Pelodiscus sinensis: one gene and its partners. The main gene of each other region encodes a partner of the protein of the gene in region 4 in a complex. Links are inferred from orthologs where the notes say so. Each region holds a gene or a part of one and is shown on either strand. Other genes may lie near its edges.

Region 1 (7,670 bases), about 130 Mb from region 4:
ATCAAAGGAACTAAATATGTTCAGCTTAAGAGATAACTAAGTGGAAGTGGTTATAATAATCAATAATCTGTGGATATCATTAGTGTATTAACAAGGGCCAGATTATGACTAACACATGCAGAAGAAGGGCACATGGAGTCTCCTTTCTCTGTGTAATTCCTTTCCTTAGCTCCTCAGCTGTGTAAATCACCCTGGAAGGGCTGGGGAGAATGCAAGGTTATGAGTTTATTCTCTCACAACTCAGCCAGCAGAATTTGTGAGGTACAGAGAGGCAGGGGTCCTAGAATGATTGTTATAGTGTGGCCTAACCACATAAGCCATACCATCACAGGGCTCACCCACCTGCAAAACCACTAATGTGATATATGCCATCAAGTGCCAGCAATGCCCCTCTGACATATATATTGGCCAAACCAGACTGTCTCTACACCAAAGGATATATGGACACACATAAACTGGTAGGGGAACACTTTAACCTCCCTGGACATTCAGAAATGGATTTTTGAAAGTAGCCATCCTTCTACAAAATAATTTCAAAACCCAGTTAAAAAGGGAGACATCTGAACTGGAGTTAATTTGCAAATTCAATACAATCAATTTAGGATTGAATAAGGATCTTAACTGGTTAACACACTACACAGGCAATTTCTCCTCTTTTTATATTCACATCTCCACACCAAATGCTGTGAATGAGCCACTTCCACTCTGTCTTGATTAGCCTCATTACCACATATATACCCCGCCTCTGTAACTTCCACTCCAATTTTATCTGATGAAGTGGGTTTTACCCATGAAAGCTTATGCCCTAATAAATCTGTTAGAACCCCAGACAGCCTGAAGAAGCTGTCATTGCAAGGCTCTGAAATTTTACATAGTTTTATTTTGGAATACAGGGATTTCTGTGCATCCTTCTACATTTATAAACTCAACTTTCTTGATAAAGATATTGTACTACAGTATTTGTAATGGGGGAATTGAAAGATACTACTTATTTTAGTTTTTTACGGTACAAATATTGGTAATAAAAACATAAAGTGAGCACTGTATATTTTTATTCTATTTCAGCCTCTGGCAGCCTGACCAGAGCCAGAACCAATCCCCGACAGTGCGGGCTGCTGGAGCCCAGCAGGTAGTCTGGCTGGGGCAGCAACTGTAGAGTCAGCAACCCAGCAGGAAGCCCAGCAAGGGCTGGAGGTAGTGCCCCCGTCTCATTCCCCTCTCCCTCCCAGTTGGCAGAGTAAGACTAGGTGCCGTGGCAGGGAACCTTCTTTGTTCTGGCAAATTCACTATTTGGGAATGGTCAGGTCTCAAAGGTGCTGGATAAATAAAAAATCCAAATCTTCACTGACATGGCCAGCAACTAAGAAGGAGAAAGACACTGCCCCCAGAGCCTAAGGGGCCCCAGCCTAATAGATTTTGTGTACTCCAGCCCCACAGGAGGGGGCAGCCCTGAGCCTCACGAAGGACTATTATAAAGAGGATGGTGATCAATTATTTTTCATGTCCACTGAAGACAGAACAAGAAGTAATCACCTTAGTCTGAAAGAAGGGAGATTTAGGTTAGATATTATGAAAAACTTAAAAACTATAAGGCTTCCAAGGGAGGCTGTGGAATCTGTGGCTACGTCTACACTGGCCCCTTCTTCGGAAGGGGCATGCTAATTTTCAACTTCAGAATAGGGAAATCCGCGGGGGATTTAAATATCCCCCACGGGATTTAAATAAAGATGTCCGCCGCTTTTTTCCGGCTTGGGGAAAAGCCGGAAAAAAGCATCTAGACTGGCCCGATCCTCTGGAATAAAGCCCTATTCCGGAGGATCTCTTATTCCTACTTCAAAGGAAGGAATAAGTAGGAATAAGAGATCCTCCGGAATAGGGCTTTATTCCGGAGGATCGGGCCAGTCTAGACGCTTTTTTCCGGCTTTTCCCCAAGCCAGAAAAAAGCGGCGCACATCTTTATTTAAATCCCGTGGGGGATATTTAAATCCCCCGCGGATTTCCCTATTCTGAAGTTGAAAATTAGCATGCCCCTTTCGGAGAAGGGGCCAGTGTAGACGTAGCCTGTGTGTGTGGTGGTTTTTAAAACTAAGTTAGACCAATGCCTGTCAGAGATAGCGTAGCTATACTAAATCCCGCCTCAACACAGGAGGATGGACTAGAGATAACCTGTAGAGGCCCCGTCCAGCCATACACTTCTATGATTCTATAGCATCTACTGTGCATGGAACACCCATCATGATCCAACACCATGTTTCTACATGTTCAACTACATCAACTGAAAAAAGTATACTTAGAGTTTATGTATCACTATACCTGTTCAAAGCATTGTACTGAGATTAACTAAATTATTCCTGACAAAACTCTTGTGCTGTAGGAATACAGGCATTGTCATGTGGCATTGAAACAGTGGTCTGTCTTTGAGAGTTGCCAGTACCAGATATTTTTAGAAACACACAAGAAATTCTGAAAAAAATGTATGGGATAATGTGTCCATAAAGAAAGTTTCTTTATTACCCCCCACAGTTAGAGGCTGGCTTATACTCTGAAGCTAAGCATGAGGGTTTATAACTCTTCCAGACTTTGTTTTTTAAAATCATAATTGTTGGAACTCTGGGGTTTTTCCTCATTGTATAAATGTCCCTTTTCTGCCAAGTCCTTGGCCTCAGTGATATTTCATGGTAATTAATTCCACAGACTATGGATGTTAGTTATCAGTTATTTTACTAGGCGAGTAGTCGATGGAATTTCCATCAACTACTCGACTAATCGATAGGCACTTCCGCATTCCTTCTTTGAAAAGTACAAGAGCCCCCGCCATTCCAATTCCTCCATTTCAAAGGAGGAATATGGAACTCTGTGTGCAGCCCGGGACCAACAGGAAGACCCACTGACTCTGGGCTGCACATGGGTGTGCCTGCTTTGAAGTGTACAAGAGTCCCCAGCAGGGGCTCTTGTGCATTTCAAAGTGGAACCGCAGCATGGAGCCCGAGGTCAGTGGAGGACTAAAAGTCCCTCACTGACCCTGGGCGCCATGCTGCACTGCCGATTTGAAATGCCACGCGGAGCCCGGCGTCAGCTGGGGACTCCCCAGCTGATCCCTGGTTCTGCATTGCATTTCAGCCAGGGATCAGCTATGCGGCGCTGCCCCTTTGAACGCTGCCTCAGCATTTCAAAGAGGCAGCGCTGCACAGCTGAGCTGGGGATCAGCTGTGTGGTGCTGTCGCTTTAACTAACCCCTCTTCTCCCCCCCTTTGCTGCTTCTATCTGATAGAGCCAACAAGGGCGGGGAGGGGATCGATTAGTCAACTGACTATCCGATAAGCATTGCTTATCGGATAGTCACTTAGTCCTTAACATCCTTACCACAGACCAATTGCATTTTGTTACTGTCCCGACATACAGATGAGAAAACTGAGACAGCAAAGCACTGGCAGGTACAGGTTTTGAACTCAAGGTCAGGTCAGGATTGTGATCTCCTGACCCTTCCCCCAATCTCCTCAACAAAACCCCCATTGCTCGCCGTGTTGTGTATCTAGCCTTGCTAAGTATCTACATAATTTTATTGCTATAACTTCTGCCCTTCTTTTCCTGACCCTTGTATACAGGAGTGCAATTGTAATTAACTAACTAACAAACAGGGATCAGATGGAACAAAATTAAAAGGGAGGAGGATCTGGGGTTTCTTCCCAGGAAAAAGCAAATAGCATTTTACATCCCTCAAGAACCACATTTCTTGCCCACATTCTCCCTCTTTCCTTTCATCCTCAGCTTCTGGAAGGCCTTCTTATGCCTCAAGAGCATCCCATAAAGCTCAGATTTCTGCTTAATTTCTTTGCACTCATGGTCTCCAGGAACTCTGCCCTCCCCAACATCTTTCCTCCTTTCCCCCTTTAGTACTCAAGAACTCCTTCTTACTCCCTATCAGTTCTGACCTCCCATCTCTGGGACTTGCTTGGGCTGCTGCTGGTACTTTCTGTGACCTGATTAGAGAGAAGATCTTTATGCCACAATTACTGGCTTGTGGCTTCTCTTTTGCACTTAGTACATTTTTGGGTGCTATGAAATAATTAGTATTTCTCATTAGTAAGAGCAGTAAGACTTTTCACTGTCTGATATGGTTCTGTGGTAATTGTAACAGCCACTCTATGACATGGACTTTTGAACATAATGACAAGCATTTCTTAGGTGGCTATAGATACCAATCCTTTGGCCTTGCATCAGATGGCTCTGCAAAAACATGTGATTTAGAACAGCTTATGGTATTGCTCAGACATTTAAAAAAACTAAAAAGTTTGTCAGAACAGTGTCCTGTATCAGGACATAAAACTGAGCCCTTGACCATTAAACAACTGATTTAAAACTAATAAACAAATATTTTTACATAATGCATAATTAACCTATGAGACTCATTAGCACAATATATCAGAGTCCAAGCTCTTAGTAGGATTTAAAAAAAATATTATTTATACATCTACATGGATAGGGACAACCATCACAGTTACATTATAGAAGGAAGATTATAAACTGTCATGGTTCAGGATATAAACTAATCACTAACTGGCAAAGACTAGGAAAAATTTCTCCTTCAGGTTGTACTATAATCGTTCTTCTGATGCATTTGGTAAAGTCTTAACTCTTTACGTTTCAAATATGAAATATCACCGAAACAAAGGTCTGTAATAAAAAAATAAAAGTGTGGTGCACATTCGGAGAGGGCGGATCTAGCTCCGCTGGTGCGTCTTGTAACAGGTGGACAGCAGCGAGGTGCTTCTCCGGGAGCTCAAGCAGCCAGGGCCACCAGCTTTCTGCCCTACAAGTCCCGGGCTCAGTCCTCAGCTGGCGAATAATGCAGCAGCTTCCGCCTCGGGCTGTGGCTCAGTCAAGTCCGCGGGGCAGATTCCCATCCAGGCTGAGCCCAGGGGATGCAAATCGGCGCCGCCTGCCCGCTGCCTCGGGGAAGGGGCGCACGAGGCGGGCGCTCCCTGGGGAGCTGAGTGGCCCTAGGACCCGGCCGGAACCCAAACGCGCGGCCCCGGTTCCTGGCCGGCTGCTCTTCCCCCGCGCGCTGCCGCCGGAGCGCGAGGCCCGAGGCAGCGGGTTTGAGGCGCGCGGGCCGCAGGCATGGAGGAGGAGGAAACGGTGAGACGCGGCCCGGAGCCGCCCGGTGCGGGGAGAGAGCGGGAAGCAGGGCGGGGGCGCGGGGGCGGGGTTAGGGAACGGGGGTTGGCGAAGGGCTGCGGGTGGTGTCTGGGCGGCAATGGGGGTTGTGGTGGGAGGGCGGATTGACATGGGATGGGCAATGGGGCGGGTATGAGCAATGGGGCCATTTTGAAGGTCGGGGTTTTTGCCCTGTTAACGGGCAGACAAGGATGGGGTAGGCTGGGCTGGGATTGTGGTGTGAGTGTAGGTAACAGGTGGCCAGAGAGCAGCAGCTGTTCCTGGGTGCCCAGTGCTGAGGCAGTGCCCCACCAGCAGCCATGCAGAAGAAAAGGCATCAATCCCATGCCATGTCACCCGTACTTCTGCGCTGCTGGTGATGGTGGCTCTGCTTTCAGAGCTCGGAGCCTGGTCAGCAACTGCCATTCTCCCGCTATCTTAGGCTCTGAAAACAGTGTTGCCACCAGCAGCAGTGCAGAAGTAAGGGTAGCAGTACTACAGTACTACTCCTTTTCCCCCAATACATTTGCAACCCCTGCTTCCCCACACACACATACACATCTCCTTTTTGGATCAGACCCTTTAGAATTACAACATGGTACAATTTCAGATTTAAATAGCTGATGTGACATTTACAATTTTTAAAGCCCTATGATGGCAAACTTGATCAAAATGGACAGTGAATTTGGTAGGTTTCTGCCTATGGTTCATTGAAATAACTTTGCATTTTGCGAGATGAAAGGACACTGACAGATTAAGGATCCACTGTGGGCAAATCAGTGCAAGTGACTTTTGGGGAGGAGGGTATCTATGATCCTGAACTGAATGGGTAATTAATGATTTAGCAGAACAAGTTAAGCTGATTTAAGAAATTTTAAAATCTGCAAACAGAATTTTACGATATTAAAAAATATTTCTCCCATCGATTCTCTCCCATGTCCTCATTCCTTCCATAACAGTGGTGGAAAAAAGGACCTCCGCAGGCTGGATGTGGCCTGCCAAGTGGGTTGATTCAGCCAGCAGAGGCCCTGCCACTCCCCCACCCCCAGGCCAATTAGGACCTGGGGGCAGGGGGGAGTATATGAAGTTTCCTTCGCCCTGACAGGAGTGCGCAACTCCTTGTAGGGTGGCAGGAGACTTCATACACTTCCTGCACCCCCAAGCCCTGATTGGTCTGGGGGCAGAAGAGGGAGCACGCAAAGTCTCCTCTCACTGTGAGGGGCATGGATACCTAGGGGGAACTTCGGGAGGGGGGGCAAAGGCGCTCTCCCATCCCCCTGGACCAATCATGGTCTATGGGTGGGAAAGCATCCTCTCTTCCTCCCCCCCCCCCCCCCCCCCCCGCTCCTTCTGCTCGAGGCCCCGCGCCTTCCGGTTTGGCCTGAGGCCACTTCAAAAATTTCTGAAGTGACCCCTGGCAAAAAATAATTGCCCACTGCTGATCCAGAATGAGACCTTACTTTTTAATTAATCTCTTTTTCTTGGGTGTCTCTAGTCACCTTTTATTCTTGCAGGCTTTCTTCCATTCCTTGTGTTCTCTAACTTTTTTTTTCTGGTGTACAGTTTACTAAAGTTTTCCTTCACTTCTTTTTTTGACTGTCAGCTAATATTCTCTTCCCTTCCTAATGTTTTGTTAATGTCCTGTAGTGTCAAGTATTCTAGGCATTAGGGATGTAAAATCCCATTTAATTAGTTAGGTGGTTAAGCATTAAGTTTAATCAGTTAACCGATTAAACGGGGCAGGTGGGCCCCCTGGGAGCTGAAGCAGCCTTCACTGGTTAACCATTAACAACCATGCTAGGCATAAGTTACATGGGTTTTCACCCTGTGATAGTGTTGCTGTGTACAGCAGTTAACACAGGTCAGGTAAAGAATTGGAAACATATATTAATTACAGTGATAGACCCAAGAATCTCGAATATATTTAGTTTAACAAAGAGAAGATTAAAGGGTAACTTGATCACAGTTTATAAGTATTTTTGTGGCGAACAAAAATGTGCTTCTGGGCTCCTCAGTTTAGTAGACAAAGCTATAGAAAAAGATACCATATCTGGAAGTTGAAGCTAGACCAGACATGGGCAATAATTTTTCATGGGGAGCCACTCCAAGAATTTGGTAAGTCACAGGTCTCAGTTTTCTGTGATATTAATGGAGGAGTGTGGGGTCTGTGATGGAGGTTAGGCTCAGAATGGAGCTTGGGGTAGGGGATCAGGATACACCAAGGAGTCTGTAAGGAGGTTTGTGTGCTGGAGAGGATTCTGACCTAAGGCAGGGCTCAAGGAGGGGGTATAGAGGGTTTGGGTGCAGGAGAGTGTTGTAACCTGGGGCACGAGTTGGGGTAGAGGTTAGGGATCTAATAGTATAGTTGATTAACTGATAAGCAAAAGCTTACTGGTTAATGCTATAGATTACATGCATCCCTCTGCCAGTACGTTTTTTTAGCAGGCTGGCCAGCAGCCCGGCTTAGTCTTGGCTTGCGCCGGGTATGGAACTTACCCCTGCTGTGGCTCTGC
Region 2 (7,626 bases), on a different chromosome or scaffold from region 4:
TTACATTTTATTTTGATTACAAATATTTGCAAAATGAGCCCTGTACACTTTGAATTCTGTTCTAATTGAAGTCTGACAATGTAGAAATATCCAAAAATATGGAGCAGCTGGTTCTGGAACCCTCAAAAGGAGAGGTTCTTGATTTAGTCCTAAGTGGAGCACGGGATCTGGTCCAAGTAGTAAATATAACGGGTCCGTTTGAAAATAGTGACAATGTAATAAAATTTTACTTCCCTGTGGAGGGAAAAACAACACAGCAGCCCAACACCGAGGCATTTAATTTCAGAAAGGAAAACTACACAAAAATGAGGAGGTTAAATAGAAACTAAAAGGTACACCGCCAAAAGTAAAATCCCTGCAATCTGCACGGAAACTTTTCAAAGACCCTAAAATAGAGACCTAACTTAAATGTATACCCCAAAAAATAAAAACACAGTAAGAAAAAAAAAGTACCACTGTGGCTTAACCAAGTAAAAGAAGCAGCAAGAGATAAAGAGGCATTGTTTAAAAAGTAGAAGTTAAATCCTAGTGAGAAAGATAGTAAGGAGCATAGACTCTGTCAAATTAAGTGTAAAAATATTATAAGAAAAGCCAAAAAAGTATGAAGAACAGCTAGCCAAAAAAACTCAAAGTAACAACCAAATATTTTTTAAGAAAATCAGGAAGCCTGCTAAAGAACCAGTCGGGCCGCTGGATGATTGAAATGCTAAAGGAGCACTCAAAGTTGATAAGGTCATTACGGAGGAAACTAAACTAATTCTTGGCTTTGGTCTTCACAGCTGAGGATGTTAGAGAGATTTCCAAACCTGAACCATTCTTTCTGGTGACAAATCTGAGGAATTGTCCCAGACTGAGATGTCATTAGAGGTGGTTTTGGAATAAACTGATAAACTTAAGTCAGTGAGACCAGATGGAATTCACCCAACAGTTTGTAACCTATCCTTAAATCATCTTCTGTACCTAATGACTAGACGATAACTAATTTGATGCCAATATTTAAAAAGGGCTCTAGAGGCGATCCTGGCAATCTCAGACGAGTAAATTTAATGTCAGAACTGGGCAAATCAGTTCAAACTATAGGAAAGAATAGAATTGTCAGACACGTAGATGAACGTAATTTGTTGGGGGGAAAAGTCAACATTATTTTTGTAAAGGGAAATCATGCCTTACTAATTGACTAGAGTTCTTTGAGGGGATCAACAAGAATGTGGACAAGGGGGATCCAGTGGATATGGTGTACTTATTTCCAGAAAGCCTTTGACATGGTCCCTCACAAAAGGCTTGTAAGTAAAGTAAGTTGTCATGGGATGAGAGAGCAGGTCCTCATGGACTGATAACTAGTTAAAAGACAGGAAACAAAGGGTAGGAATAAATGGTCAGTTTTCAGAATGGACAGAGATAACTAGTGGTGTCCCCCATATGTTAGTACTGGGACCAATCCTATTTAACCTATTTATAAATCATCTGGAGAAAGGAGTAAACAGGTGGCTAAATTTGCAGAGGACACAAAACTGCTCAAGATAATTAAAAGTAAAGTAGATGGTTCAGCAACAAAATGGCAAATGAAATTTAATATTGATGAATGCAAAGTAACACACACTGGAAAAATAAACTAAACATACAAAATGATGGGGACAAATTTAGCTATAAGCACTCGAGAGAGATCTTGGGAGTCATTATGGATAGTTCTCTGAAAACATCCACTCAACATGCAGCGTCAGTCAAAAAAAAAAAAAAAAAAACCCAGAACATAAGGAATCATTAAAAAAAGGGACTGAGAATATTTTTATTGCCTCTGTATAAATCAGCGTACACCCATATAAGTCAGCGTACACCCATATCTTGAATACTGTGTGCAGATGCGGTCGCCTTATCTAAAAAAAGATGTATTGGCAAACATTGGAAAGAGTTCAGAAAGGGGCAATAAAAATTATAAGTAGTATGGAAAACCTGTCAAATGACTGTTTTTGTTCACTCTCCCTGGAGCATTTGGCATTGGAAACTCTGAGAAGTCAGGATACTGGGCTAGATGGACCTTTGATCTGACCCAGTATAGCCATGCTTATATATGCCCTCATTAATAGTATAACTGATTCTGATTTGTTTTTTTTAATTGCTTGACAGCCCTATTTATCACAAAAGCCACTAAACCTGCCACTCTACATTGGCCTTTTTGACTCTGAGGTCACTAGTGGACAAGGAGTGCAAGGTAGTTAGGGCAGGTAGGAAGGCATGGAGGGGAGCACTCCCAAACGTTTGTTACAGACTAGCAGCCACACACAGCTTTACCCCATGACTCCGCCTCCACCTACCTCTCCGTCTCCTCTCAGGATCAGGGCTCAAAGGACAAGCAGACTCTGCAAATGGAGGGACGTGGAGGAGTTAGCGCCTTGCCTTCCCGTCAAGCGGGCTTCACACAGAGCCGGCCCAAGCCATTCTTGCAACCTCAGCTCCAGGCGCGCGGCGCATGCGCGGCCCGCCTCGGGCGCGCGCGGCTCATTCTTGCAAACTCAGGCCCAGGCGCGCGGCGCATGCGCGGCCCCGCCCGGCCGCACCGCGTGGCGCCCCATAGAATCGGGCGCCCGGGCCTATCGCCCAGTCAGCCCCTAGCTTGGGCCGGCTCTCGCTTCAGACAGAGCAGCCCCTCAACAGAGGGCGCCAGGCGCCCGGCACGGCCGCCCCTAGCCCCGGGCACACGCATAAAGCTTTCAAGGGGAGAGGGGATCCAGGGCGGCGGCACCGCGCCAAGCCAAACGGGACGTCCCACGCCCGCCTGCCGCCGCAACAGCACCAGGGAGCCGGGCACGGCTGGGCGAATCTGCGGGGAGCTCCCTGCCCCGTAGCCACTGCAAAGGCCCCGCCGCAACCCTGCTACCAACCTCACCTGCCCGCCGCGCACCAGCCTCCGTCGTTTCAAAGGGCTCCTTCCGGTCACTGGGTCCGGGTCCATGTCGTCACATCCGCTGTAGCTCCAATCGCTAGCCAGTGGCTAAGGAAAACGCGCGAAGTCACCTCTCGCGGGTTTAGGACAGATAACTTACAATACGCATGCGCTTGGGAGGTGAGTCGCTGGATCAATTCATGGCTATGATTGGGCGCGAGCCAATGAGAAGGTTTGCAGGTGGGAACGCCCCTATGGTGGCATCGCCGTGCCTATTGGCCAATGGTAACTAAGACGGGCCGTGATTGGCCGGTGTAGTGTCAGGGGCTGGTAGCTGTAGGAATTAGCTGCGTGCGCTAGTTACTTACGCAGTGTCTGTGGGAGGGGAGATAAAAACGCGCCTCTGGACTGCGGGCGGGAAGGAAGCGCCATTTTGTGTGGGGCTAGGAGGGGGACTAGTACTGGGAGCTCGCTCGCAGGGGAGAGCCTTGGCGGTCAGGGCCGGCTCTTTGTTTTTTTCCACCCCAAGCAAAAAACTGTTTGGCCGACCCCTCTTTTTTCTTGGCTTTTCCACGTTTGCACTTTGCAATTTTTTGACTGTTTAAAATTTTTTTTAAATGAAAACAGAAAATTTGTAGTTAGTGAAATAAAACAATTTCTTGCTAGTGTACTCATTTAATTTTAACATTATTGCAATTACCCAAACCAAACTGATAGACTGCAGAGGGAGGTCCCAAAGCCATGCTTACAGAAAATGGGCTAATAAGGAGAAGGCCTGTGGCACCTTTTAGACTAACAGATTTATTAGAGTACAAGTTTTTGTGGCTAAAAGACCCACTTTTGCCCATGAATGTGTAAGCAGGGGCTGAACTGCTGCTTGCTGTCAGCCAGCTGAAAGGAGGGGTGGGTGTGCCCACTACAGTTGTTTAGCTCTACAAGGTAATTAACTGTTAACTGTTGACATGTAAATACTGCTCAGGAGAGAATCCAAGGTGTGGCTATGTAAATTCCATTCAGCCAGGGCTGATGGAGGGTCAGTGTTGGAATGGAATGTGGAGAATTGTATATAATTTGGGACTGTTGTGGGGGTCACTAATCATGCTACCCCTAAATGTGGGAACTGTAAAACATGCCACCAGTGCTTGCAGGAGAGACACCACCATCATGGTAAGAGGTCTCGGAAGAACAAGCCTCCCCCCTTCCAGAGTTGAGTGGACAGAGCTGGGGGAAAGGGTTAAAGGACTTGTGTCAGCCTGCTTCACACCTACCAGGTGTGAGCTATAAGACTGGCCCAGCCTGCACCTTTCCCCCTTTGTTTTAAGGACAGACCTAAAGCAGACTCCCTGAGGAGTCTTTTTGTTTGCTAGTCCAGTGAAAGCTGGATTCATTTGAGAGCTGAAATCACTGGTTTGGCTGAGAGTTGAAATCACTAAGCTGAAATCACTGGTTTGGCTGAGAGCCAGACCTACTGCAACCAGTAGAGTGGCAGCAGGCGAGGAGCGGCGACTAGCGGCGTGGCGTGGCGCGGCGGCAGGCGAAGAGCAGCCATCAGTGGCGTGGCGCGGCGGCAGGCGAGGAGCGGCCATTAGCGGCGTGGCATGGAGCGGCGGCAGGCGAGGAGCGGCGACCAGTGGCGTGGCGTGGAGCGGCAGCAGGCGAGAAGTGGCGACAGGTGCCCAGCGGAGCGTCCAGAGGTGTGGGACGAGACAGCTGGTGAAGCGTAGCGGAGTTTTCGTATAAGGTGCCCCCTATCTATCTCCCCACCCCCATTTCTACCCAGGTTGGGAGGTGAAACCCTGCGGGTGAACTTTGGGGCTCTGGGTGGCACAGAGACTTGTGGGGACAGAGACTTTTGGGGAGTCGGTGGACTTCGGGCGAATCTTGGCCGGGGTGGGGGCTCATGTTTGGGTTATGAACTCTGTTTGTGGTGTTTTCCCCAAGCTAATGCCGTATGAATTCTTCCTCTGTTTCATTAAATGTTCTTTTCCTACACTCAGACTCAGTGCTTGCGAGTGGGGAAGCATTGCCTCTCAGAGGCGCCCAGGGGTGCGTGAATTTCCCAGATCACTGGGTGGGGGCTCGAGCCGGTTCTTTGTGAGATTGACCCCAAGATATTGAACCCAGCCCTGGTTCCTGCCAGGCCTACCCGGCAGAAGGGCTACAAATGCTTGTGCTCTAATAAATCTGTTAGTTTATAAGGTGCCAGAGGATTTCTGGTTGTTTATGCAGATTCAGATGAACAGGGCTACCCTTCTCATTCTAAGGGTACGTCTAGACTACATGCCTCTGGTGGTGGGATGTAATAGTATAGTCCAGTGGTTTCCAGTCTTTTAAAGGATGAGATCACTTTTTGAATTGAAGTGCAATCCAGGATCTACCTCAAACCCAAATACTTTTGTCCCGCCTCCTTCATTCCCCTTCTCCAAGGCCCTGCTCCAGCTCCCTCCCTCCCCCATTATTCCTCCCTTTTATCAGGCAGGGGCAGAGAGTTGGGGTGCAGGCATTGATCATATGGATTTGGAGTGTGAAAAGGACTCTGAGCTGAGGCAGGGGATGGGGTGTAGGAGAGGGTACGTGACTGGGAGAGGGATTCAGGATGTAGGCTCCAGCTGGAAACTGCTTACCACAGGTGGCTCCTGTGTGGTGTTGCAATGGGGCTAAAGGCAGGCTCACCCCTGCCTGGCCCCGCACCATTCTCAAAAGCAGCCAGAAAATTCTGTCCATCCCAAACCCTTCTGTGCCCTCCACATCCATTCGCTGGAGATAGAATACACAGGGTGGGAAAAGAAAAAAGCTCGAAGGCAAAGAGCAGGAGGTGCTCAGCAGTGGGGGGAGGGGCAGCTGAAGTGCTGCACTTGACAGCCTCATGGCCAAACAAGTCGAGATCACCTGTCAGAGGCTCCAAGGTTGGTGACCACTGGTATAGTCAATTAACCGATAAGCAAAAGCTTATCGGTTAATGCTATAGACTACATGCATTTCCCTCTCCCTGCTAGTAAATTTTTTAACAGGCTGGCCAGCAGCCTGGCTCAGTCCTGGCTTGCCATGGGTCTAGGACCTATCCCCATTTCAGCTCTGCATTTCAAGTGTATTAAGAGCTAGATCGGGAGGCAGCTCAGTTCTGGCTCACACCGGTCCAGAAGCTGAGACCCATGCTGCTGCCTCTTTCTCAGAAGCAGCAGCACAGGGCAACAGGCAGCCGGTCTGTGAGGGGATCTGTTTTTTAAACTGGCTCCCTTTGCAGACCAGCTCCCACCTGGCACCCAGCACTGCTGGCCCTGCCCCAGGGGACTATAAAATAGTCAACTAACCGATAAAATTTCAGGAGGTTACTCTACTATTCAATTAACAGATTTTTAACATCCCTATATTGTGGATAATGGTAGAAATGTAGCCGTGTTAGTCTGGTGTAGCTGAAACAAAATACAGGTCTATGTAGCACTTTAAAGACTAACAAGATGGTTTATTAGATGATGAGCTTATTAGATGATGGTTTATTAGATGATGAGTGGGTCTGGCCCACGAAAGCTCATCATCTAATAAACCATCTTGTTAGTCTTAAAGTGCTACATAGACCTGTATATTGTGGATAGTTATCTGACAATATCTACTCAACGTGCAGCAGCAGTCAAAAATCTAACAATGTTGGAAATCATTAGGAAAGGGATAAATAATAAGACAGAAGATAACTCATCACCTCTATATAAATCCATGGAATGCCTACACTTGAATACTGTTATGGAAATGTGGTCATTCTGACTTAGTAAAAAAGGAAATACTGGAAGTGGAAAAGGTACAGAAAAGGGCAACAAAAATGATTAGGGTTTGCAACAGCTTCTCTATGAGGAGAGATTAATAAGACTGGGAGTTTTTAGTTTAGAAAAGATGATTAAGGGGATATGATAAAGATGTATTGAATCACAGCTGGTATGGAGAAAGTAAATAAGGAAATGTTATTTACTCCTTCCCATAACACAAGCACACAAGCAGTTATTTCGACATCTTATCTTATTATACTTTCAAAAGGATTTTCCTGCGGGACAACAGAGTGAAGTCATCCCGCATGCCCGGCTCCCCCTCCCCCGCATGCTCCATGGGAGCCACAAGCCATGCAGCCTCCCCCATACTCCAACTTGCCCCCGCGAGGCCTGAGGCAATGGGAGCCGCGAGCTGCATGGCACTGGGGGCATGCGGCTTCCCTCCTCCCCAGTGCTCCGGAGAGAGGTCGCATGGCTGCTCTACTTTGTGTCGTCCCGCCCTCCATGATCCTATCAGCTCCATGCCACACGGGCCAGTGGTTAACTCTTTCCCCACATGACGCCGGCCCCTGAGTGTAACCAGGGCCGGCCCAAGCCCTTTTGGCACCCTTAGCCTGGGAGCACGGTGCTGCCCCCAGGTGCAGGGCGCTTGCGCACGCCAGCCACGGCTGCTGGTGTGCAGCCCAGGGCCCGCCCCCGGGGCACTTGGCGAATGCATGGGCCAGTCACAGCCGCTAGCGCACAGCCCGGGGTGCACGGTGCATGCGCTACCCAGCCTGGCCCAGCCAGCGCTGCTGGCGCGTGCACCGGGCGGTGCAGGGCCCTGCAGCTGTGGGGGGCAGGGCGCTGCTAGTCGGCGCCACGGGGCCAGCACTGCGGGAGCCGGGCGCACGGCTCCTGATGGCAGCTGTAAGGGACGCCACGCGCCCCTTACAGCTGCCATCAGGCGCCCCCCATCGGTTGGCACCCTGGGCAGCTGCCCGGCTT
Region 3 (7,355 bases), on a different chromosome or scaffold from region 4:
GATCTCCGAGAGAGGGAGGGGCAGGCTCGGATGGCGGGGGGGGGGGGGGGCAGATCTCCGAGAGAGGGAGGGGCAGGCTCGGATGGCAGGGGGGGGCAGATCCCCAGACGGGGGGAGGGGCAGGCCCGGATGGCGGGGGGGGGGGGGGCAGATCCCCGGGCAGGGGGAGGAGCAGGCCCGGATGGCAGGGGGGGGGCAGATCCCCGGGCGGGGGGGGGGGCAGATCCCCGGGCGGGGGGGGGGGCAGGACCGGATGGCAGGGGGGGGCAGATCCCCGGGCGGGGGGAGGAGCAGGCCCGGATGGCAGGGGGGGGCAGATCCCCGGGCGGGGGGAGGGGCAGGCCCGGATGGCGGGGGGGGGGGCAGATCCCCGGGCGGGGGGAGGAGCAGGCCCGGATGGCGGGGGGGGGGCAGATCCCCGGGCGGGGGGAGGAGCAGGCCCGGATGGCGGGGGGGGGGGGCAGATCCCCGGGCGGGGGGAGGGGCAGGCCCGGATGGCGGGGGGGGGGCAGATCCCCGGGCGGGGGGAGGAGCAGGCCCGGATGGCGGGGGGGGGGCAGATCCCCGGGCGGGGGGAGGAGCAGGCCCGGATGGCGGGGGGGGGCAGATCCCCGGGCGGGGGGAGGGGCAGGCCCGGATGGCGGGGGGGGCAGATCCCCGGGCGGGGGGAGGGGCAGGCCCGGACGGCGGGGGGAGGGATCCCCACGTGCCCTGCGCAGCCCCTGCCCAAACGCAGCTCAGGCCAGCGCCAGTCTCCTCCTCTTCCACCAGGCAGCGGCAGCCGGGCGGGACCGACGCGCCAGCAGCTGCCGCTGCGCCGCCCTCCCCCACCCCCTCCGGGGAGAGCAGGCGGCCTCCTCCGCCGGGCGCCGCGGCGACTCCCCCGCCCGCCCGCCCGGCGCCGCGCGGACCGCGCCGGCCCCCGCCTCGCCCCGGCGGGCAGACCCCGGGGGCGCCCGGCGCCGCGCGGCCCCCCGGAGGCTCGGGCCCTCCGGGGCCCCCGCACCTCGCCACCCTCCCCGGCCGCCCGGTTACCGGGCCCGTCGGGCAGACACTGGCCGGCTCCGCCCGCCCCGCCGCCGCCCAGCCCGGCTGCAGCCAGCGCGCCGCGGAAGCCGCCCGCCGGACCCACCTCCAGGGCAGGGGGAGGGGGCAGGACTCGCCGCCGCGGCAGCCGCAGCCTCGCCGGAGCCGCGGGGGGAAGGGGCGGAGGCGGCGGCGGGGGGCGTCGGGGCCGCCGCAGCGCGCAGAGCCGGGCGAGGGCAGCGCGTCCTCTCCCCGCACCGACCCCCGGGGAGCGCGGCCCGGCCCAGAACCACCCAGCCCAGCGGGGGGCCGGAGCCCCGCGGCCGCCGGGGAGGGGAGCCAGCCTGGGCACGCACCCGCCCGACGGCGACCGCCCCAGCTCCGGAGGGGAACGGGGTGGGTGGATGGGGGGGGTGGGGGGGACAACCGCCCGGCCCCGGGAGCCCACCCCCGAAATCCCGCCGCGGCTGCCCGGCCGGGGCCACGCTGCTACCTCGTGCAGTCCCCCCTTCCGCGCGGCGGCGGCTGCGCCCCCTTCCCTGCCGCCGCGGCTCCGGGGGGTCCGGTTCTGCAGCAGCTCGGGAGCCGCTTTGTACGCGCCTATCCCCGGCGGGCCGAGGCTCCCGGAGCCGCCGCTTCCTGCCTGGCGAGCCGCGGGGCCTTGCCCGGGCTGCGAGCGCGTGGAAAATCCAACCCCGCGCCGCCCGCCCCGAAATCTCCCCGCGCTACCCCCCAAAAAAGCCCCCCGATCCCCGCTGCCTGCTCCCCCGAGCGCCTTCCCCTCACCGAGTAAGCCGGGCGGCCGCCGAGTCTGCAACCGGGGGGAAGCAGCAGCAGCTGCTGCAGCCAACCACCACCGGAGCCTGTGGAGGAAACAAAGCGCCTCCTCCAGCCCCAGATGGCGAACCAGAGCGTCGGCTAATGGCGAGCTCCACATGCGCTCCTGCTGCAGCAAAGCAGCCCGGTGCAGCCAGCGTAGCCTCGGATCGTGCCTTCTCCCCCCTCCCCCTGATCCTTCTCCCACCCACCCTCCCTTGCAACAGGGGGCTGCATCGGGCGCGTTTACTGCTGGAGGTCTCGGGTCTTTTTTTCGAAATGCACCTACCTGCAAACCAGCCAGGCTGGAGAAGGCGCTTGGGGACGGCTTTTTTTGGGTGCTTTAGCTGGGGAGCGCTGGTTGAATGCTAGCCAGCTCTGCAGCGCTGGCCCCGGGCGTGGACTCGCTCCAGTCCCCGCAGAGAGATTGCACTTCCCCCGCCTCCATCTCTCTGCTTTTTTCTTCCAATCAGCCGGGCTCTTTTCGCTCCTGGATCCTTAGCCAACCTCACAGCCCTTCACAAGTCTCCACTTTTCCATCTGCTCCCTAAACGGAATTGTCAGAGAAATCGGTCTCGTCTCTTTTCACTCTCTTCTGGCTCTTACGGGATTGTGTGTCTGTCTCTCTCTGACTCTCTCGCTCTCTCTCTGTGCGTGTTTATTGCTCTTTGCTTTTGCAACACTGTAGCCAAAAGAAGAGAAGAGGAGGAGGAGGAGGGAGAGACAGGGAAAGAGAAGGAGGAAAAAAAAAAAGCTTACATTTGCAACAATCCTCTTCTGACGTTTGCACCAAAAATTCACATGGTCGATTTCCTACAACCCACCTCGAATAGCACGAAAAAAAATAAGTTTTTTTTTAAAGTTCCACCTATGCACAAAAATAAAATTCAGATTTTCTTTGTCAAGTTCCGAGAGCGGGGACAGACATTTGCACCAACGCAAAAGAAGGAACCTGAACTACACTGCAAGTGGCTGCCTTGTAAACAGGCTCTCGGGGAAGAAGGAGACGGGGAAAAAAATGGGGAGTTTTGTTGTGTGTCTCTTGCACCAGGAAATGCACAAACAGGTCGAGAGTGAAATTCACACTTTCCTCCCGGACTGCGTGAACCGCTGGATTTGTTAACGATACCGTGAAATTGACACTCTTGGATATTTCAAAGCCGGAGGGGGCTGGGTGAAGGGAGAGTTTTTCCATTTCCTCCCCCCCCCCTCAATTTTTTTTAATCTAATTTTTCCAACTCCACCTTTGTTGTTATGGGCGTCATCTGCTGCTAGCCAATCCCCTGTCTGGGATCTGCCTGTCAAATTAATGGCAATCCCAATAAGCAAGCGGCTTCTACAGACCAAAAAAAAAAAAAAAAGCAATTAAGTGTTATGAGCTCTCTTGGGGGGGAAGAGTGGGAGGACCTGCTCTAAGGCCTATACATGTGAGACCAGGAGGGTGCTGCATGGTTTGGCTTTGGCTGTCAATGCAGGGATTCCCATAACACTGTGTGCAAATGCTTGCCTGCCTTGTTGCATTAGATATGTATCAGGCACCAGGGATATTTTTTTATATATGGAGAAATGTAAAGGGGTTGTCAGACAGCACTGCTGAGTGTATACATGGTTTTGTTACCACAGATTAATGCAGATTAGTTTAAACATGCTGGTAATGAAGTGGGAGCTAGAGTACTAAGCCAGAGACAACATGAGTGAGGTAATATCTTTTATTAGATCTGTTGGTTTAAAGTACATGCTTTTGAGTTACACACAGCTCTTCAGGTCTGGGGAAGGAACCAAAATATAAACAGTATCTTTAGGCCTTGTCTACACTAAGGAATTTGGAATAAAAGTCTTATCTTTGTTAACATGGGGGGGTGGATAAAATTCTACAATTCTACATGGATTTCAGCCTTGTTCACTTCCTGCTCTAAAAACTCTGTCCTGTCACTGAGGTGTCTTAAACAGATACCCCTGTTTCACCTAGGGGCTAGTAGCTTTTCAAAGTGATCCTTCTCTGTGAAAACCTTAAAAATGTACCTCTTGTCTTTTCCACATAAGATGAGTCAAAAATGTTAAGGAGGGTGAAGGCCTACCCCTTTCATTCTGGATACAAGCTGTGTGCACACGCAATAATTCTGCTGTGTTGTTTTTGTGGGCATATAGATGATCCTAATGCTGGGCTGAAGGTGATCTTCCCGTTCCATGGTAGGTTTGGAACCTTAAAAAAAATTCCTACAAATAGGTAGGAAAGGTCAAAAAGCTCAAATGTCCTTAAACGAAAATAATCTGAAAAAAAAAATTGGATCAAGTAAATTAAAACATTTGGTTTCAATTTAGATCTTTTTTAGCTTTTAATTTTTTTTAACTATGACTCAACATTTCTCACTGAGAAATTGTTTGGAAACAAAATGGAACCTTTGCATTGAGAAGTTGTCGAAACTGAACATTTTGTCAGTGTCTAAACTTTTTTCAAAAATGTTTGGAATCGCTTTCCCGACTACGCGGGCTTTGGGGCACGTTACATTCTTGTGCCTCTATTTCCTCTCCCAATCTTACCTGGTCATGTCTATTGAGATAGAGAGAATGCTTACTCTGAAGAGCTCAGTATGGGTGCATCTACACAGCACCCTTAGCTCAAAGTAAGCTACACAATTCGCGCTATGCAAATTGCATAGCTTATTTTGATGCTATTTCAAAATAGCTTATTTTGCAATTTGGTGCTGTCTACACAGTGCCAAATTTTGAAATAGCTCGCTATTCCAAAATTCCCCTTAACCCTCGCGGAATGAGGGTAACTGGGATGTTGGAATAAACCGCCTGTTATTTCGAAATCTATTTCAAAATAACTGGCTGCTTCAATAGACACAGAAGAGCTATTTCAGGATACTTCGGGTATCCTGAAATAGCTCCGCAGTGTAGATGTACCCTATGTGCTTATATTGTGCACAGCACAACAGGCCCCAATGTTCATGGGTGCCCTGAGGTGTGATTGTGAACATAAATATTTATCGCAGTATCTTTTGCAACCAGCTAGTGTGGTAGGCTGACTGGTAAAGATTGCTACTACTTGCTACTACTGATAAAGCATCTATTTGTGCACATGTAATATTAGAACATAAAAACAACCACAGACCAATATTCCATCTAGTCCAGGACCCTGTCTTCTGACAGAGGCTAAGGCCAGTTGCTTCTGAGGGAATGAAGAGAACAGGCAACCATCAACATTTCCAGCCCCTGGCATCTACTCCCAGCATTTGGCATTCAAAAGCTGGGGATGCTCTGATCCTAGTGTTGCATCCCTGACCATCGACACCAATATCCATTGCTGTATCTATTTCTTTTTTGAACTTGTATTGTTTTGCCCTTCACAACCTGCGGCAATGAGTTCCACAGGTCGACTGTGTGAAGAAGTACTTCCCTTTGTTTGTTTTAAACCTGCTGCCTATTACATTTTATTGGGTGACTCCCGGTTCTTGTGTCATGGGAAGGAGTAAATACCACTTCCCTCTTCACTTTTGTCCCACCAGTCAAGGTTTTATAGACCTCTACCACATTTCCCTCGCGTCATCTCTTTTCCCAAACTGAAAAATCCCAGGCTTTTCAATGTCTCCTCATGCAGATGTTGTTCAGATGCTAATCATTTTGGTTACCACGCTCTGCACTTTTAGGCTATGTCTACACTCGTGGCTTCTTGTGCGAGCAATATGCAAATGAGGCTAAGCGTGGAATATCGGAAAACACTACTGTGCTGTCTACACTGGCCCTTTTCCGGAACAGTTTTCCGGAAAAAGACTTTTGCCCGAACGGGAGCAGCATAGTTTTTCTGGAAAAGCACTGATGATTTTACATGAAATCGTCAGTGCTTTTTCGGAAATTCAAGCGGCCAGTGTAGACAGCTGGCAAGTTTTTCCGGAAAAGCGGCTGATTTTCCAGAAAAACTTGCCAGTGTAGACACAGCCTAGGAGTAAAGTCTGAGGGCTTGTCCATACCAAAACATTGTTCCTTTGGGCTATGTCTACACTGCCAGTTTTTGCGGCAGAAAATATACTAATGAGGGACTCATTTGCATGAGTCATGATCTCATTTGCATAATTTCTGCCGATCCATTTTTGCGCTAAGCGTTTTTGCACAAAAACAAAGTGTTTTCCCTTTTTGTGCAAAAACCCCTTTTTCCGCAAGATTGGTATACCTCCTTTTTTGAGGCATAAGGATCTTGCGGAAAAAGGGGTTTTTGCGCAAAAAGGAAACAACCACACTGCTTGTTTTTGTGCAAAAAGCCCTAGCGCAAAAACGGATCAGCAGAAAATACGCAAATGAGATTGCAATTCATGGAAATGAGTCCCTCATTCACATATTTTGTGCCGCAAAATCTGGCAGTGTAGACGTAGCCTTGGAAGACAATGCCTGTGCTTTTAGTAGGGACCCCACAGCAGTGTCCCAGCAGAGTACACTTATTGTAAGGACAAAAAACAAAAACAAAAGGCACAGAGAGGATAAGCACCAAACAAGACAAGTTCCTAGACGAGTTAGGAAACTTTTTTGGTTCAGAGGCCACACGCACAAGTGAGAAGCAAAACAAAAGAAAACAAAAACCAAAGATGTGGCCTTCACCTGAGAAAGAGAAAGACCCTCCCCACATTCCCCTCACACACCAGAGCTTAGAGGGGCCCAGGCTAGTAGATTTTGTGGGCGCTCCAGTCCTGTGGAGGCAGGGCTGGAGCCCAGCATATGCTCCCCAATCTGGGGAGAAGCCTTGAGCCTCGGCGGGGGGCCTTAGGTCCCCCACCCCGGTCCTAGAGGCTGTAGCCTTAGCCCAGGTTGGCATGAGTCTTATGGGATCCTAGCAAGCCAAAGACTTTCCAACCCTTCTTGCCTGTCTGCTGCATCAAAAGGGAATCCCTCCATCAGCTCAAGCCCAGCTCTTCAGACCGAAACACCTTTCTCGGTGGCTGCCACTGGAAAATCCAGTTTGGGCTCCCCAAGGAGTGGGGCTTCTGGGTACCGACCCCAGCCTGGAGTCTGGCCATGAACGTCTCTGCTACTTCAAGCTGTGTACACGCCACAAGGCAGGTCCCAACATTCTGGGGTCCAGTGCGCATACAAACTATGGGAAGTCCCGCCTCCGGGGTTTGACAGGCAGCAGCCCCATGGCTCCTGATTGGCTCCCGGACCTATTTAAACCTGGGAGGCGTTCCCAGAAGCATCCAGGTCATGTGGTTTGTCTGTAGCTGCTGTTCTGGTCTTGAACGCCTGGCTTTTGACTTTACCTCCTGACCCAGAGCCTGAAATCTGACCTGGTCCCTGGGTACCAACCCCAGCCTGGAGTCTGGCCATGAACTTCTCTCCTATTCCAAGCCTCAGGTTTGTCCCTCCTCTGACCCTGGACCCTGAGGGTCCTAGTGAAGATGCTGACAGTAATTACCCCGTTGTACTGAGCACCTGGAAGTCCTCCTCCATGGAGCAGAACACAATCCTACAGAAACGATTATAAATGTAACCCCCCAGGATGCTGCATGGGATCGCAGTAG
Region 4 (7,632 bases):
GCAATCTCTGAAATGCATCCAGTTCCACATGCAGGGCCACTTTGGCAGAACTGCACGGTCTCAAAAGTGTGAATTAAATGATGGTATTCAGAGGAGGGATTATTAGGAATCTTTTGGGAAAGGAAGAACCTATATAGGAAGGATGGGCTCTACCTTCACCAAAATGGTGGCATGTAAAATTAAAAAGGTTGTGATGGAGTTGGGGAGAAAACAAGCAGGTTTGGAAATGTGGAGCGTCCAGTTTGGACACAGAGATACGGTAAGGGAATATTTATTAAAGAGAATACTCTACATCCTAATAAAGAAGAGAGGCTGGAAGTTGATAAAGTACAGGTGGGAAATGAAGAACAGTCAAAAGACTGTTTTTCAATTATGTCTGCCTTCATGTGAGAACTAAATATTGATAAATTTTATAAGTGCTATACAAATGCTAGAAGTCTGAACACTATGATGGGTAAAACTGAATGTGAAAGATACTGATAAAATAGGGCATCACAGAAACTTGGCAGGATGGTGATAATCAATAGGATATAGTGAAAACAGGGTAAAAATTATATAGATCTGACAAAGTAGATCATGCTGGTGGGGGAAGTGGCACTATCCATGGAAAAAAAAGCATAGAGTCATAATGAATCAAATAGTATCAACAGAATCTCTGTGGATAGAAATTCCATGCTTACATAACGAGAGTATAGTGGGAATGTATTACTGACCATCTCATTGTGACAGTGATTGTAAAATGTTCAGGGAGAGAACAGAGGTTAAAAAACAGAAAACCCAATAGTAATGGGGAGTTTCAACTTTCCCCATATCGACTGGATATATTTTGCCTTAGGATGGCAAGCAGGATAAAAAGAAGGGAGATAAAATTTTTAAACACCATTAAGGACTGCTTCTTTGTGCAGCAAGTCCTGAAACCCACGAGGGAAAAGTTTTAAATGGAGCACTGGACCTGGTCTAAGAGGTGAATATAGCTGACCCACTCAATAATAGCGACCAAAATTAAATTAAATTAAACATGCTTGTACAGGGGGAAAATATCAAAATAACTTCAAAAAGGAGACCACCACAAAAATACGGAAGTTAATTAAACAGAAATTAAAAGGAACAGTCACAAGAATGAAATTCCTGCAAGAAGCCCAGAAACAATTTTAAAAAATGCCATAATAGTGGCTCAAACTAAACACATACGCCAAATTAAAAAAAAAAAAAAAAAGAAAGCATCACAGTGTCTTAAAGTACAAGAGACAGTTAGAAGCAAAAATATGTCCCTTAAAAATTGGAAGTTAAATTTTACTGAGGAAAATAAAAAGATGCATAAACTCTGGCAAGTCAAATATAAAAATATAAAATCCATCTTTGAAGAGCCAAAAATCCATCTTTGAAGAGCATTCTGGAAAAGACACAAAACTAACAGCAAAATGAGTGTTATGTCCATCAGAAGTGGGGAGCCTGTCAAACAATCAGAAGGGCCACTGGATGATCCATGTGCTAAAAGAGCACTCAAGGGAAAAAAGGCTGTTGCTAAGAAGATAAATGAATTACTGATATTGGTCTTGACTGCAGAGGATATGGGGAGATTCCCACACCTGAGCAATTATTTTTAAGTGACAAATCTCAAATGGATCCAGATTGAGGTGTCAGTAAAGAAGGCTTTCAAACAAATTGATTTATTAAACTGAAAGGTCACCACAAGAGGTAGATAGATTCATGGAGGTTAGGTCCGTCAATGGCTATTAGCCAGAATGGTGTCCCAAACCTCTGTTTCTCTGGAAGTGGGCGACAGGGGAGGGATCATGTGAGGACTACCTGTTGTGTTCCTTCCCTCTGGGGCTTCTGGTATTGGCCACATGTTCTTATGCTATTCCAAAAGGTCCCTGACTCCTCGTAGAATGAGGATTACAGGAACACAGGAATAGTGAGCCCAGAATAATGGGCTTGCTGTGAAGACACAGGATAGCTATTTCGGGATACTCCAGTATCTTGAAATAGCATTGTAGTGTAGCCCTAGTTACCAGTATGTGCTACTATGAGTAAGCAGTTAACAGAAAATTACACTTACTTGTATGCTGAAGATACCTCGGAAGTACAGGTAAATGGATAGCTGGAAGTGAACTGCTTTCAATCCTTACTGCAGACCCATCCCATGCAGACTCTTCTGTAAACTCCTCCTGTGCCCCTCTTGTCAATTGTTCAACAAAACTGTCCATGTCTTCCACCTGCGAGGAAAACTTTTACACCTTAAAAAATTCACACACACACGAAATGGTGATGTGGGCTGTTTATTTAAAGTCCCATAGGTGAGGGGATGGGGAAAGCTCTAGGACGGGGAAGCAGAGGGAGGCAGATTACTTCTATTACTATTTTGTTACAGCAGCACCACTTAACAAGGGGAACACGAGCCTGCCTTACCCCAAACACACAGGGGGTCCATCTTAGAGCTGGTAGCTGCAGCCAGTTCTCCTAAGTCCCTGGCCAGTGCCTGACGGTGCTGCCAAATGATGTTTTTTCCACTGGTCTTAATTCCCCAGACTCCAAATCAAGAAGAGCCAGGGAATGGCCCAAGCCCGGCCTTGCAGGGCAAAGGGCACTAAGCACCTCAGAGCCCCCCCGAACCCCGCACTTCTGGCTTGGCCGGGCTCGCCCCGCAGCTCCCTCCCCACCGAGCCCTCCGCACCTGTATGAACCGAGAGATTCCCCCGCCGGCCAGCCCCAACCCGGCTCCTCCACAGCGCGTGGCATGTGCCAGGAGTTAGTACGCTCCTAACGGACGTTTCCGCATCCCGACACGCAGACGGCCATGTTTGGGTCGGGCAATGGAAGCTGTCATCGGCTTCTTCACGGACAGGCTGAAAACGTGATCTGACGTCACTTTTGCCCCAAGGCGGTTGAGCTGTTGCGCATGCGCTGTGTTCGCTCCGACAGCTCGCCAGTGCGCAAGCGGCGTCGCATGGGCCTGGGATTGCTCCCTTGTAGTGTGAGCCGCTCCCTCAGGGAATGGGGGCGGGGCAGCAGGCGCCTCCGCGAGAGCCGGGCCACAGCCGGGGGCAGTGGGCTGGGGCTGGGGCGGGTGGCACGGTGTCTGGCGCGTCCCGCAAGCGCTGCCGAAGGGACGGGGCGCCGCGCTGGGCCTGGCGTGGCTGGTGCCGGACCGCCCTGCCCTCTGGAGCAGGCGGAGCCCTGTGGCCTCTGACCTCCGCCTGCTGCCTCGTACAGAGCTGAGGCCGCGGCCAGGCTGGCGAGATAAGGGGCAAGCCCCGCTTGGCGTTACGGCGCGTCAGCCCCAAGGCAGGGCAGCTAATGCGCCTGCTGACACTGGATGAGCGGGTAGGAGAGTTACAGTGAGTTTGTTTGTAGCCATGTTGCTCTTAGGCGATGAGAGAGGCCAGGCAATATCTTTTATTGGGCGCACAGATGTTGGTGAGAGACCAGCTTTGGAGCTACATATACAGCACTTCTTCAGGTTCTGTGGCTGTTTGCAAAATAGGATTAATCAGATCACTTAGTAATTGATGTGCTAGAACAGTGGTCTCCAACCTATTTAAGCACGAGATCACCTTTTGAATTTAAGTACAATCCAAGATCTACCTCAAACCCAAATACCCTTGCCCCGCCTCCTTTGTGCCCCCTTCTCTGAGCCCCGCCCCTGCTCACTCCATCCTCCCTCCCTTCCTCCCCCACCCTCCCTCTTTTTCACCAGGCAGTAGCAAAGGGTTGGGGTGCAGGCCCTGGTTTTGGTTTAAGGGATTTGGAGTGCGAGAGGGGCACTGAGCTGAATTTAGGGCAGGCAGTTGGGGTTCTAGGTACAGGCTCTGGGAGGGTGTTTGCAGGGGTGCTTGAGGCTAAAGCAGGGGCTTGGAGTGCAGAAGGGGATTCATTACTTGGGGTTTAGAATGTCGGCTCCAGTGGGCCACCGCTTACCTCAGGTGGCTCCTGGGTGGTGGTGCAGTGGGGTTAAGACAGGCTCACCCCAGCCCTGGCCTTGCACTATTCCCAAAAGCAGCCAAACTCCCTCCATTCCAAGTCCTGTTGTGCCCCCCCTCCCTGCTCTGTGGACATAGGATACGGACTGGGATAGGATACCTTGACATCAGCGCCCCTCTTCTCCTGTGTTCATGGTACAGGTTGGCAACTGATTATCTCAAGAACTTATATTGGCCTAGCTACCTCTGTCATGTAAACTAAATTGATCTAATCTTGTATAGCCAGTGCTAGGTCAACAGAAGAATTTGTTCATGAGCCTAACTACTGCCTCAAGGAGGTGAATTACACCAAGGAGAATCTCTCCCACCTACATAGGTAAGTAGTGTCTATACTGAAGCACAGCAATGGTAGTATTTTAAGTGTGGACAAGTCCTAAGTGTAGGCAAACCTGGAGACCATGTGTACTAGGGGTGTGAAAGTATAACTGGGCTCATCGGTTAACCTTCACAGTTACACTCAGGCTCCCAGTGTGCATAGGGAGCTGACTTAACAGGAGCCAACTGCTTTCTCCCGCATGCAACACTGAAATTTGCAGTGGGTAACTGTTTACTTAAATGCATTTTAACATCCGTAGTGAATACACTTACTAGCTTTCAGTGGCACAACTGCACCAACTCTGCTGCTGTAAGAGCATTCATATAGCTGTGTTATGCTGACAGGAGACAGCTGTCACAGCGACATCATAAAACCAGCTCAGTGAGCAGTAGTAACTCGTGGATGGAAAAAGTTAGCGGGAACACTGGATGCCATAATGGTGACAAAGCTGGAGGAATAAGCCAGGGTGGCTTTCCCAATACCAAAGACTATTTCCAGAGAAGCCAAATAATGTTGGAGGAACTAACTAAAATTATATAAATACTATATAAATACAAAACTTCACAGCTGAAAAATCTGAAGCCCCTGGACACATAGCAAATGTCTTACTGAATCTGACACCTGGTTCATCTAGCCCAGGATCCCATCTCTGACAATAACCAACATCAGATGCTTCACAGAAATGTGTAAGAAATGGTACTAAGCAGATGTAAGATAATCTGCCTTCCAAGAGAGTACCTCCTTAACCTCATAATACTTAGATACTGTCTTAAAACTAGGGATGTTAACGTGTACTCGGGTACACAGCTAACTGATAAGCCTGAGCTCATCGGGTAACTCCTGGTGACAGGCACGCGCATGCACACACTCCCTGCTACCTCTGTATCAGAGGCAGTGGGGGAGATGGGAGGCAGGCATCTGGCTCCCTGTGCCTCTCACAGAGGCAGCAGCAGGGGCGGGGAGAGCTGCGTGTAAACGTAACCAGTGAAATTTTCAGTGGTTACATTAATTTTTGCAAAAGTGTATTTTAACATCCCCACTTAAACCTGAAATGTGGTTATTACTTTTTTTATTAGGGTGACTATTTGTTTCCATAACACACAAGTTTAAATATTTGGACCTCGACTGCATACACTTTATGATAAACCTAAGTCAGAAAAACAGAGAGGCAGGTACAGAGGAGGAAAAATATTTCTGGGTTAGATTCACAGTTGACCTTGTAGATTTCAGTAAAGAACTTATGAGGCAACAACTTTTTGCACACCAGAAAATTAAAAGCCCACATCAGTACTTGGAACACACTCTGTGGATTCCAGTTGACAAGGAGATATCTGAACCAATAGCCTGGATTGAAATAAAGTCTCAGTTTGCGTGCTGACAGTAAAAGACTATGTATTCACCGCATTATACCAGTGTTTCTCAACTAGTGGTATGAGTGCCCTTAGGGCAATGGTCACCAACCAGTAGGTCAGGATCTACCAGTGGATCTTGGAGCCTCTGGCAGGTGATCCTGACTGGTTTGTCTGGGAGGCTATCAAGTGCTGGCACTTCAGCTGCTCCTCTCTTCACTACCCTGCTGTTCCTGCCCAGAGCCTCAGAGCTGCCCCCTGGGAACCTCTTGCTTCTTGTGCAGGGTGGGGGAGAAAGAGGCAGGGGGCACATATGTCATTCTGTCCCCTTCTCCTGTACCCCATCACCACAGAGTGAAGAGGGAAGGGCTTCAGAAGGGGTGGGGCAGGGGTATTTGAGTTTGAGGTAGATCCTGGACTGACTTCACTTTTTGAATTTATCTTGTGCTTTAAAAAGTTGGAGACTACTGCCTTAGGGGAACTCGAGAGACATCTAGGGGGTACGCCAACAACTGAAATTTGGAGAACTGAATTTTTGTTTTAAGTTTTACAGCGCTTTATTATTTTTCTACTTTTCACACCCCAAAATTTCATTGCCCACCCAGCTACAATTAAGTTTTTTAAACAAATGTGTTGCAGTGGTAGAAAAAATGTTTGTGTATCTGAAAACTCTAAGTGGTGGGGGTATTTAATTTTTTTTGTTAAAAGGAGTACTTTTTTTAAAAAAAAAGTTGAGAAACAATGCAGTATACCATAGGGAGAGAGAACCAGAAGCAATTGAGGAATAGAGGATATTGTGCCTGCTACAGTGCAAGACAGGCTCTGCAGATTTTTTCACTGCTGGCTTTTTTTTAAGTGTTCTCTGCTTAATTTTTCCCAACCCTCATCACAAATACAACAGTAATGAAAACTAGAGTATTAACAACAGACTAGATTTTAAAAAGGCCATTGATGTTAAAGTTCAATATTTGGATACTACTGGCATTCACAATACCCCTGTTGAGGTTCTGCTGTCTAATCAGAGGAACAGCTTCACGAGGAGAGGTTGAAAGAGACTTGTATCAGAATATCCTATATCTCAGTGGGTGGGACACTATTGTGGTATGATTTGAAAAGGCATCTTCCACCTTCCTATCAAGTAGAGAAGGGAATTGACCCCAGCTCCATCATTCAGGTGAGTGCTCTAACATCTGAGGCACCACAGGTACCTCAGCATTTTTGCAGGAAATGTCCAAGCTATGTGTCCTCAGAAGCTTTGTGAAACCTATTACTGATAACAATGCATATGTAGGCACTTGTATAGCCCTCAGCACTGTGGTAGACTAACTAGTAACTATTTTATATGATCAATATTGGTTTTTTAATTATTATTTTTAAAGAGACAAGGATGTTGCCAAACTCACAGAGGTGCAACTGACAAAAGATTTTATGTTGTCTGAACTTGATATATATGCCCTTTGCTTTATTAAACTATGTTTAAATGCAATTGTAGGTAGGAGGGTAGGAATTTTTATCTATGGACAAAGGATTAATCATATCATGACCTGTATTTTAAGAATTGCCATAGACTAAATCCTTTTATTAGTTTTTCTTGAGGATGTTTGTTTATATATATTAAAGAAATTTTGTCAGCTATTCATTTAGAATGTAAATGCCTCCATTCAAGGAGTCTGGCTTTTTCCAAGTCTTGGGTAGTACAAAGCAATACTAAAAAGCCACTCAGCTCCCACCAGCAATAGCTGGTTCCTCGATGTCCAAACACACCAACCAACGAGGATCGTATAAACTTTCCAGGAACTTGTTTCACTAAACCACCTTCAAAAATGTTAGGCTTGCCCCAGTGTTGATTGCAAAGTTTGCATATGATTTTTGTGGGGGGTTGGTTCTGAAGAATAGTTGCAGATTTTCTAGGGTATTCATACCCTCAAATATAATACATATGAAAATATATCTTAATAATCACACTGATAGCCGGGTATTTGAT

What was found.
Region 1: TAF1A (region 4) and TAF1B share a complex: the UniProt entries of both Homo sapiens proteins name them as parts of the transcription factor SL1/TIF-IB complex. The link is inferred for Pelodiscus sinensis from reciprocal best matches to the Homo sapiens genes TAF1A and TAF1B.
Region 2: TAF1A (region 4) and TAF1D share a complex: the UniProt entries of both Homo sapiens proteins name them as parts of the transcription factor SL1/TIF-IB complex. The link is inferred for Pelodiscus sinensis from reciprocal best matches to the Homo sapiens genes TAF1A and TAF1D.
Region 3: TAF1A (region 4) and UBTF share a complex: the UniProt entries of both Homo sapiens proteins name them as parts of the pol I pre-initiation complex. The link is inferred for Pelodiscus sinensis from reciprocal best matches to the Homo sapiens genes TAF1A and UBTF.

Annotation. Positions count from the first base shown.
Region 1 is NC_134713.1:27,654,386-27,662,055, reverse strand, and holds the start of TAF1B (TATA box-binding protein-associated factor RNA polymerase I subunit B), read left to right. Parts: upstream 1-4,665; 5' UTR 4,666-5,121; coding exon 5,122-5,139; intron 5,140-7,670. UniProt on the Homo sapiens protein: Component of RNA polymerase I core factor complex that acts as a GTF2B/TFIIB-like factor and plays a key role in multiple steps during transcription initiation such as pre-initiation complex (PIC) assembly and postpolymerase recruitment events in polymerase I (Pol I) transcription.
Region 2 is NC_134711.1:305,249,295-305,256,920, forward strand, and holds the start of TAF1D (TATA box-binding protein-associated factor RNA polymerase I subunit D), read right to left. Parts: upstream 3,019-7,626; 5' UTR 2,885-3,018; intron 2,358-2,884; 5' UTR 2,313-2,357; intron 1-2,312. UniProt on the Homo sapiens protein: Component of the transcription factor SL1/TIF-IB complex, which is involved in the assembly of the PIC (preinitiation complex) during RNA polymerase I-dependent transcription.
Region 3 is NC_134739.1:7,330,216-7,337,570, reverse strand, and holds the start of UBTF (nucleolar transcription factor 1), read right to left. Parts: upstream 3,019-7,355; 5' UTR 2,602-3,018; intron 2,575-2,601; exon of another isoform or gene 2,390-2,574; 5' UTR 2,132-2,389; intron 1,992-2,131; exon of another isoform or gene 1,813-1,991; intron 1-1,812. UniProt on the Homo sapiens protein: Recognizes the ribosomal RNA gene promoter and activates transcription mediated by RNA polymerase I (Pol I) through cooperative interactions with the transcription factor SL1/TIF-IB complex.
Region 4 is NC_134713.1:154,524,830-154,532,461, forward strand, and holds the start of TAF1A (TATA box-binding protein-associated factor RNA polymerase I subunit A), read right to left. Parts: upstream 3,011-7,632; 5' UTR 2,678-3,010; intron 2,220-2,677; 5' UTR 2,211-2,219; coding exon 2,063-2,210; intron 1-2,062. UniProt on the Homo sapiens protein: Component of the transcription factor SL1/TIF-IB complex, which is involved in the assembly of the PIC (pre-initiation complex) during RNA polymerase I-dependent transcription.